2 linked regions of the Xenopus tropicalis genome follow. The protein of the gene in region 1 interacts with the protein of each later gene in a pairwise test. Links are inferred from orthologs where the notes say so. Each region holds a gene or a part of one and is shown in the gene's direction. Other genes may lie near its edges. The genes, in order: phyh and pex7.

Region 1 (4,596 bases):
CATACACAGGCCGATTCTGGCTGCCGATATCGGTCCTTTAGACCAATTCGGCAGCTAATCGGCCCGTGTATGGGCACTATCGACAGGCCTGCCCGACCGATATCTGACCTGAAATCGGCCGGATCTCGGCCAGATCCCGGACCAACTTTTCCTATACCCATCGTTATAATTCGATCGTTTGGCCCCAGCGACATTGCCAAGCGAGCGGATCTGAAGGTGTATGGGCACCTTAAGATCACTATAGCAAATGGATAAAGAGTACTTCATTAACCCGAGACATACCAGTAAGATCTTTGTAGAAAATGAAGAACAAACATTGCATTAAGCCTTAAGGTGCCCATATACGTTAAGATTCGCTCGCTTGGTGAGATCGCCAAGAGAGTGGATCTTCACCCAATATCCCCACCTACGGGTGGGCGATATTGGGGAGCGTGTAGGCTAATTCGATCGTTTGGCCCTGGAGCCAAACGATCAAATTATATTGGCGGCAATGGGACAGTCGGTTCAGGGACCGCATCAACGAGCCGATGAGGTCCCCGATCCAACTAGATTTTCTAACCTGCCCGATCGAGATCTGCCCGATTTCAGGATTTACAGCAGTGTTGATATTGCTCCGTACATGATACTTTTAGTCGCAGATTGAATTGCCGTCTGGGTTTCGGCTGTACGTTCGAGCACGCACTGCTGGCTCGGTAAGTGCTCCCGTGAGTTTCTATAAAAAACAGATATCGGTTGGGCAGGCCCATTGGTAGTCCCCATACACGGGCCAATTAGCTGCCGAATCGGTCTAAGGGACCGATATCAGCAGCTAGAATCGTCCCGTGTATGGGGACCTTTAGATCAGATGCCGTTAGTGAAATCACACCCAACATTACAACTGACAAATTGGCTGTTTGTATTTTTACATTGATTTTCTAGTATAGTCATGGCAGAGTGTTTTAGTTAACTGCAGATGTCTGGCAAAAAAAAACCCAAAACAAATTTATATGCAGTGGGCCTTTAAATTAAACAATTCACCAACTTAGAAATCTGCTGTATCACAAACTTTTTTAGTGGTGTATGGTACATATATATTAAAGTGTGTGAAATTATATAAAACATGACTTCCACACATTTTGAATACATTTTCCTCACCAAACCAAGACCCTATGGATGTTTTTAAGGGTATTTTATTAGTCATCGCCGATTTTTTAGTTAAGTGAGTTTACACTACGCGCATTTTCTCCTATAAGGGATCTTAACAGATTTACTTTTGCCCAGTTGAGAGAAATGAGGGCAGCAAGAGACAGGAGTAAAATATTTGCAGGGGAAGAGGGGACGGCTGTTCCCAGGAGAAGGAGCTCACAGATTACTTTTTGCAGGGAACGAGTGACTTGTTTCTAAGTGAAGAGGTCGACACTGAGAGACTACAAAGGAATCACTACTGTACTGACCTTTGCTGTCAGTCTTCCACAGTAAATCTAGAAAAATGTGCAGGAGGGACAAGGAGATTTCTGATAACTTGAAGGGAAAATCCGCCAATGCCCTCTCACACAGGGCTGTGCCTTAGGACGTGACGGTGAGTGCAGAGGTTCAAAGTTAACTACAAACTATCCAGTAACACCACACGTACGCACAGCACGTTTGTGAGAGAAGCTATACAGTATATACTTAGCCAGGTTTAACAGTGGACAGCTTCAGGGAGAATGAACTAGCTAACCGCAGCTAGCGCCTAACTGCTGCCAATGGTTTCCCCCTCCCCTCCCATAAAACTCCTGCATTATTCTATGGTTCAAAAGGCCGTTGTGTCTCTTTCACTGCCTTGCACTGAGGACTCTGTCGTGGGCGGCGCAGTAAGAGAACTGTATAGGAGGGGCTTAGGAAAGACAAATGTGTCATAAGTAACTAGCACAGGTCTGACCAGCCTAGTGGCTTAATCCTTTTCAGGAAGGAGTGATCTGTGCCGTTGTTTTCAGGAAGATGCAGGCTTACAGACGCAGTTTCGTCCCGGGAAGCGCCGGCCGCCTCGCAGTCCTGCAGCGCCACCTCGTATCCTTTGTTATGGAGAGAGGCCAGTGACAGGCCTATGTGTGACAGTGCTTACCAGCTGTCATGGGGGTCCGGGGACTATGGAGGGTATGCACGTAGCCATGCCCTGTAATCTGAATAGTGTCAAGTATCTAATACCTGTAAATCTACTATGGTTTGGTATTTGGACTACTTGGGCATTTCTGTTGACGTTGTTTATCTAGAAAGCATGCAGGCACTCTCACATAAACAAACATTTATTTTTTGAAAAAATGAAAGACAATGTAATTCTAAACAGCTTTCCATAACAATGCTTTGAATTGAAAGGTATATGTAATTACTTCTGAAAGCTTCAGATGTCTACTTGTTTATATTCTCTGAGTTCCTTGTTCTGACTTCTAAAATGTCCTGTCACATTGTTTTAGTAGTCAAAACTGGAGAACAGAAAAGGATAAACACCTTGAAAGATGCTCAACTTTGTGTTAATTTTTAGTGTGATGTAGAGAGTGCTATACTGAGACAATTTGCAGTTGGTCTTCATGCTTTATTCTTTGCATTTTTTTTAATTATTTCTCTTATTGTTCAACAGCTCTCCAGTTTGAAAGTTCCGCAGCTATCTGGTTGCTAGGGTTTAAATTATCTTGGCAACCATGGAGTAGTTTGAAAGAGAGACTGGAGTATAATTAGGAGAGAGCCTAAATAGAAAAATAAGTATTAAAGGGCACCTATCACCCCTATATTGTTTCCTCCACCAGAGCTGCGGGCTAATAGAGCCTTCACTCCGGTTGGGAGAAACAATAGTTTTCTGTGTAGGAGGGTGATTTACATTCACAGCTTCTAGGTCAGGCGAATGTGAATAGTAAACGCGTGGTAGATCACTTATTATTCTCATGCATGTGCCCCAACATGGCTGCCTGCACCAGGGGCTCCCTTCTGGTGCAGGTAGCGCAGCACTGGCAGGGGCAGATTTTTTTAAAAAAAATATTGTTTCCCCTATCTGAAGTGCGGGCTCTATTAGCCCCACCTCTGGTGGGGGAAAAAATATAGGGGTGATAGGTGCCCTTTAAGGAGAAACAATAACAATAGTTTTTTGGCTGCTGGGGTCAATGACCCCCATTTGAAAACTGGTAAGAGAAGGAAAATAATTCAAAATCAATAAAAATGAAGCCCAACTGAAAAATTGCTTTAAAATGGGCATTCTACAACATACTAAAATGTAACTTAAAGGTGAACCACCCCTTTAGCAAATAATAACATTTCTTTTACTTTTAAAAAACAGTATTCAGATGGAGGACCCCTTTAAGAGACGTAATACAATTTGCTAATGGAAAAAAAGTATCTGCAATATGACCTTTTTCATGTATGTTTTGCTATGTTTAGCTCCTCGTCTGCCAGAGCAAAAATATTGTGCATTTGTATTTATGCCAGTTTCTCTGATCAGAGAAAAAAAACCCCAAAAAACAGATGGAAAAAACAGGGTTAAATCACAGCTAGCTGGAGCTCTGTATTCCTCAGTGTGTGCCGTTGTATGATGAGTGGGCATGTTCCACTCTGCTACTGTTTTGTTCCTTATCTTTGCCTGACGTCCTCGCTCTTATTAGGGCTCTGGCACACAGGGAAATTAGTAGGCCGCGACAAAACTCCATGTTCGCGGGCGACTAATCTCCCCGAGTTGCCACGACCCGCCATCCCACCGGCGAACATGTAAGTCGCCGGCGGGATGGCACATGCGGCGGCGCGATTTCCCGAAATCGCCAAAAAAGACTTGCAAGTCTTTTTCGGGAAATCGCGCCGCCGCGTGTGCCATCCCGCCGGCGGGATGGTGGGTCGTGGCAACTCGGGGAGATTAGTCGCCCGTGACAAGGGAGATTTGTTGCGGGTGACTAATCTCCCTGTGTGCCAGAGCCCTTAGATCGAATTATATTGGCAGCAATGGGGCAGTCGGTTCGGGAACCGCATCAACGAGCCACTGCGGTCCCTGATCCGACTGAATTTTCTAACCTGGCTGATCCATATCTGGGCAATTTCAGGCCAGATATTGGTCGGGCAGGCCCCTCGTTGCTGCCTCAACACGGCCCGATAAGCTGACGAATTGGTCCAAGGGACCGATATCGGCAGCTACAATCGGCCCGTGTATGGGGACCTTAAGTCCCGTGCTTGTTTTTTCTGGTATGGGACATTACCTGCTTTTGTTTTGTTTTTTTTTGTTTTTCAAGTCTCAGTCGTCTGCTTTTTTCACATTAGGACAGTCATTGGCTGTGTAGGTTTACAGGAAGAGTTTTTATAAGTTTATATTGCAATTTTGGTCTAAATAACACACGTGGATTATGATTTTTTACTTTATATCCACTTTAAAGGATTTTTATGGTGTACTTTTTATTTCTAAATTATACTGTTTACATAGCAAATAATTCACTCTACCATTTAAAATTGTATTCTTGAGCCAACAAATGTATTTTTTTAGCTGTAATATTGGTGTGTAGGCAGCCATCTCAGTGCATTATGCCTGAGTCTGAGCTTTCAGAAGGAGCCAGCGCTACACTTAACTGCGTTCAGGCAACCTATTGTTTCTCCTACTCCCATGTCACT
Region 2 (4,358 bases), on another chromosome or scaffold:
GTTTAGTTGCTGTGACAAGTATCTGTTACTAAGTAGCTCTTTGTGCCTCCACCCTAATATAAAAAAAATGAGGGTCTGCAAAACAACATAAACAGCACTATCATCTTAAAGTGATAGTGAGACTGAAAATATTAAAAAGTTACCTATAGGTCACACTGATCATTTTTCTTTGATAGGTCTGCTTTTGTAAGTGTTACTTAAAGTTACTAAACCTGACTGTCCCTGCTCAATCTGTCAGTTATAGTTTTTAATGCTAATGGACTACTGCTGCTGCACAAATTTTGCAGCCCCCTCATAAAAGAACATGGGAGATCAGATGCCTAATGTAAAATCATCAGACAAATACTTTCAATGCTAAATTCTAAATCGCATGCAAAGATAATGTTTTGATAGATGTAAAAAGGTTTCATTTCTGGTGTCAATTTCTCTTTAAGGGTTGAAATAAAAAAATATTCTACAACAGGTAAAGGGATGCTGTCATGGGTTTAAATATAGAATATATATTAAATATATAGTTTAAATATAGAACTCCTGAAGCAGAATCCTGTGTTTAAGTCATGTTAATTAAGCAAACAATTAAGCAAATATTTATTTTTATCTTCCTGGCTTTTTATGTCCCCCCAGCTTTGTAAACTGAGCTCTAATAAGCTGCAAGTTGTGGTAATGGTAACACCCCTTAACCTTACCTGCTGATGTAAACAGAGCCCTGTCTGGTCAGCCTGTCAAGAAAACAATTGCCAGGTTACAAAGTAGCTCATCCAGACACCCCTCAGGATTTAAGCTAACAAAACGGATAGGAGATCCGTGACTCTGCCAGAACCTAATTTCTCATGTTGTGCATTGTTTGTGCGCCAGACAACTAAAATAGAAAATGATGTTTATGTACACCGCATGGAGTAGCGAATAACTTATGGCTCCGTTCCAGGAGCCTCCGATTTGATCATTGCAAATCTCAAAATGCGGGCCTTAAGAAAATACCTAATGTACCCATTTATTAGACCGGTAAAACATTAAATCGGCAAAAATTAGCAGTGACTTAAATAGCTTGTATATTGAGCTAATTACGGTAAAGAAACAACGTACTTGAAAAGACAAGCTCCGCTCACAAGACCCAACACACCGCAGTAGCCACCATTTTCTATCGCCTTCTTTCTCCTCCTTTGGGCTAAACTTTGAGCAGGAAGGGGTGGAACAAGAAGCTATTGGTACCAAAACGTCACGTACATATGATGATATTCTCTTATTCAAGATCAGCGCAACGCTCGGTAAACCTATGAAGTCGCCATATATCCTCTTATTTTCTAGAAACATGGGCAAAACATTCATTTTACTACGCGCTTTCCTCGCGTTCTGAAACTGCGTCACGTGCCAGCAGGTGTGACGCCACTTCCCGCTGAAAATTGCGGGCTGCTTGGGTTGGTAGGTCTAGTGGGTTACGTACTCAGGGAATGGCAGTCTCGGGAGATGGAAGACTCCATGCAGTCCGCATTCCCGACAGGCATGGTTATGCGGTGGAGTTCTCGCCTTACAAACCCTCCACTTTGGCATGCGCTACCTCACAAAACTATGGCATATCAGGTGAAGCATCTGCTCGTCTTTACTTTAACTCAGTGCTGTGGCTCAACGGTGGTGACTAAAAGTGTATATATTTCTTCGGAAATAAAGTTAATTTCATGTTTTTTTTTTTAACTGGAATATTTGTAATACTGGGCTGGCTGTTTTTTTTAATTTGTATAGTAAGAGGTCTTGCAGGAATTGATTTGTTTTTATTGAATTTTTTTTTTGCTATTCTACTCCTTCCATTTTAATAGAGTACAACTGGTACATTTTCAGTTGTTTTATGGGGAACTCAGATTGTATGCTCTATTGTGACACAAAATGAAGAAAGATATGAAAAATAAACTGGGCATATCAATAAATAATGCATTACATAATTAAAAGGTATTTATAACGTTACCAGTTAGGCAGGTTACATTTAGGTGTGTCTTTTTTCAACCTATGTTACTATGTAGTGCTGCTACTAAATGCAGTGCGGTAAACTTAACAGTATGTGACAAGTACAAAGAAGGAAGACAAACTTTGCAATAAATATTATGTAGACAGACAGAAAAAAATACTTGCTTACTTGCAAGCTTAGATACAAAGGAGTAAGAAGGACCCTGCCCTATAGAGCTTACAATTGGAAGTGGGTGGATAACATACAGGCATAAACAGAATGCTGCTGTGCACAGAGGTTTGGCTGTTGGCCCTTAAGAGCCAAGATAGAACCACATATTGGTCTACTACTCCAAAAGATAACATTTTCAAGATTCATTTATTATCAATACAAACCATATACAACTTATGGAAATTAAGTTTCTCCAGGTCCCCATGGTGCATTCCTTTAAGAATAACAACAACATAATGAAAAAACATATAGTACAAGGACAGATTTAAACTGACAGGTGCAATTGGTATTTTATATGTTTAAATGGTATTTGTAAAAGTTCAATGTAGCAATGGACTGAACTTTGACAGGCAGTTCTTTATAACAGTATTGAGTTTACAACTCTAATTGCTTGTTGGAAGAAGCTTTTGCAGTGTCTAGCAGTTCTAGTTTGAATGCTACGGAACCTTCTTCCAGACGGCAAGAGGGAGATAGTGTGTTTCTGGTAGAGTTGGGAGATGGGTCAGAGAGGGTCTCCTTTGATCCTTTCCACTGTTTTCACTATTCGCTGTAAGGACTTTTGTTCTGCAACAATGCAGTTTCTAAACCAGACCGAGATGTAGCTACAGAGAACATTCTCAATGGTACCTCGAGTACCTCATTTGAGTTACTTTTTGAAGAGGCTGAGTGTGTGTCCCTTAAAGCATCTGTATGCCTCCTTATATAACATTGGTTCATTGAATAGAGTTGGTACTGAAATATTTTTTGTCTGTTGCTTAAAAAAGCTATGGTATTTAGTTCTTGAGCTAAACATGGTAAAATTTGGAAATTAAGCTCAACTAATATTCTACTTCCTGGTCCCAATAAGTCAAACTATATTTGCTGCCCACTGAAACGCATTTGTATAAATGAACCCCTTCCCCCAACTACAGCATGTTTTTTATATGCTTTTTTTTTTTATAGAGGTTTTTTAATGGACTGCTGATTTGTTTTGCCTCACTGGGACCAGAAAGTTACTTAGTTTTGCTTTCAAAATATGCCCTATTTATATAAAGATATAACAATTATAGATATTTATAATAAAAATAATAGCCAAAAGCATGTTCAGCACAATCCCCATTCTCTAAACTCATGTTGAACAAGGGGTATACTGTCCCTTTAAAGGTAGAAATTTAGGGATGCAATTCCAGAGGTAAGAAGCAGCACCCTAGGAGAATGGATTGGTTAGCAGTAGGTTGGAGTAGTCTAAGTGGGATAGAATAAGGTCATAGATGAGTGTTATCTCATTGCTTGAGAAAGAAAGAGGGTCTAATACAATGGTGTTAATGTTATGTGAGGACAGACATTTTCATAGTAGTAGTAGATATAACAGGAGAAAAAATGGCCTTGGTTTTTTTGTTTGCATTCCTCTTCTGCCTTTTTTCAGCTTTCAAATGGTGTCTTTTCTTCTTTCTATGTAGACCCTCTCCTATTTATCTTCATGTGTCTCATTCAAACAACTGCCTGGATCCTAGGGTCCCTGGCAACCACATAGCTACTAAAATTTCAAACTAAAGACCTGCTAAACAAAACGATAAGTCAGTGCTGTCCAACTTCTGTGGTACTGATGGCCACAACTTTTCGGGAGGAGGAACGATAATAGAAGCCAGTTTTAACCACTCCCCTTTTTTAAACTGCAACTACTCCAGACCACACCCATGTTCTCGCAAGAGTTTTTAAGACCATACCCACACTAATGGTGGTAGCGCAGCAAAAACCTGAATGGTTGGAACTCACATTAGGGATATCATCATTCATTCATATGTGACAGAATTATATTATATCATATTAAGACATACCCTTAAATCCATATGCCTCCTTCCCCCTATGGATAGCACAGCAAGGTCCAGCATATAATTTTACGCACCTAAGAGCCCATATAATGACTATTCCCAAATGCTAACAAACTTCCAGAACAAACCCCTGCCAGGTTCACCTCCCACAGGCAGCATAGGGCAGGCAGAGTTTGGCACACACAGGAAAGGTAGGGCAGCCCGAGTATGGCACACACAGGCAGCATAGTACAGGCAGAGTTTGGCACACACAGGAAAGGTAGGGCAGCCCGAGTATGGCACACACAGGCCGCATAGGACAGGCAGAGTTTGGCACACACAGGAAAAGTAGGGCAGCCCGAGTATGGCACACACAGGCCGCATAGGACAGTCAGGGTTTG

The links.
Region 2: the proteins of phyh (region 1) and pex7 interact in a two-hybrid assay, tested with the Homo sapiens proteins (2 studies listed by BioGRID, with this or other methods). The link is inferred for Xenopus tropicalis from reciprocal best matches to the Homo sapiens genes PHYH and PEX7.

Annotation. Positions count from the first base shown.
Region 1 is NC_030679.2:81,827,971-81,832,566, forward strand, and holds the start of phyh (phytanoyl-CoA dioxygenase, peroxisomal), read left to right. Parts: upstream 1-1,616; 5' UTR 1,617-1,959; coding exon 1,960-2,028; intron 2,029-4,596. UniProt on the Homo sapiens protein: Catalyzes the 2-hydroxylation of not only racemic phytanoyl-CoA and the isomers of 3-methylhexadecanoyl-CoA, but also a variety of other mono-branched 3-methylacyl-CoA esters (with a chain length of at least seven carbon atoms) and straight-chain acyl-CoA esters (with a chain length longer than four carbon atoms).
Region 2 is NC_030681.2:58,621,956-58,626,313, reverse strand, and holds the start of pex7 (peroxisomal biogenesis factor 7), read left to right. Parts: upstream 1-1,372; 5' UTR 1,373-1,448; coding exon 1,449-1,578; intron 1,579-4,358. UniProt on the Homo sapiens protein: Receptor required for the peroxisomal import of proteins containing a C-terminal PTS2-type peroxisomal targeting signal. Specifically binds to cargo proteins containing a PTS2 peroxisomal targeting signal in the cytosol.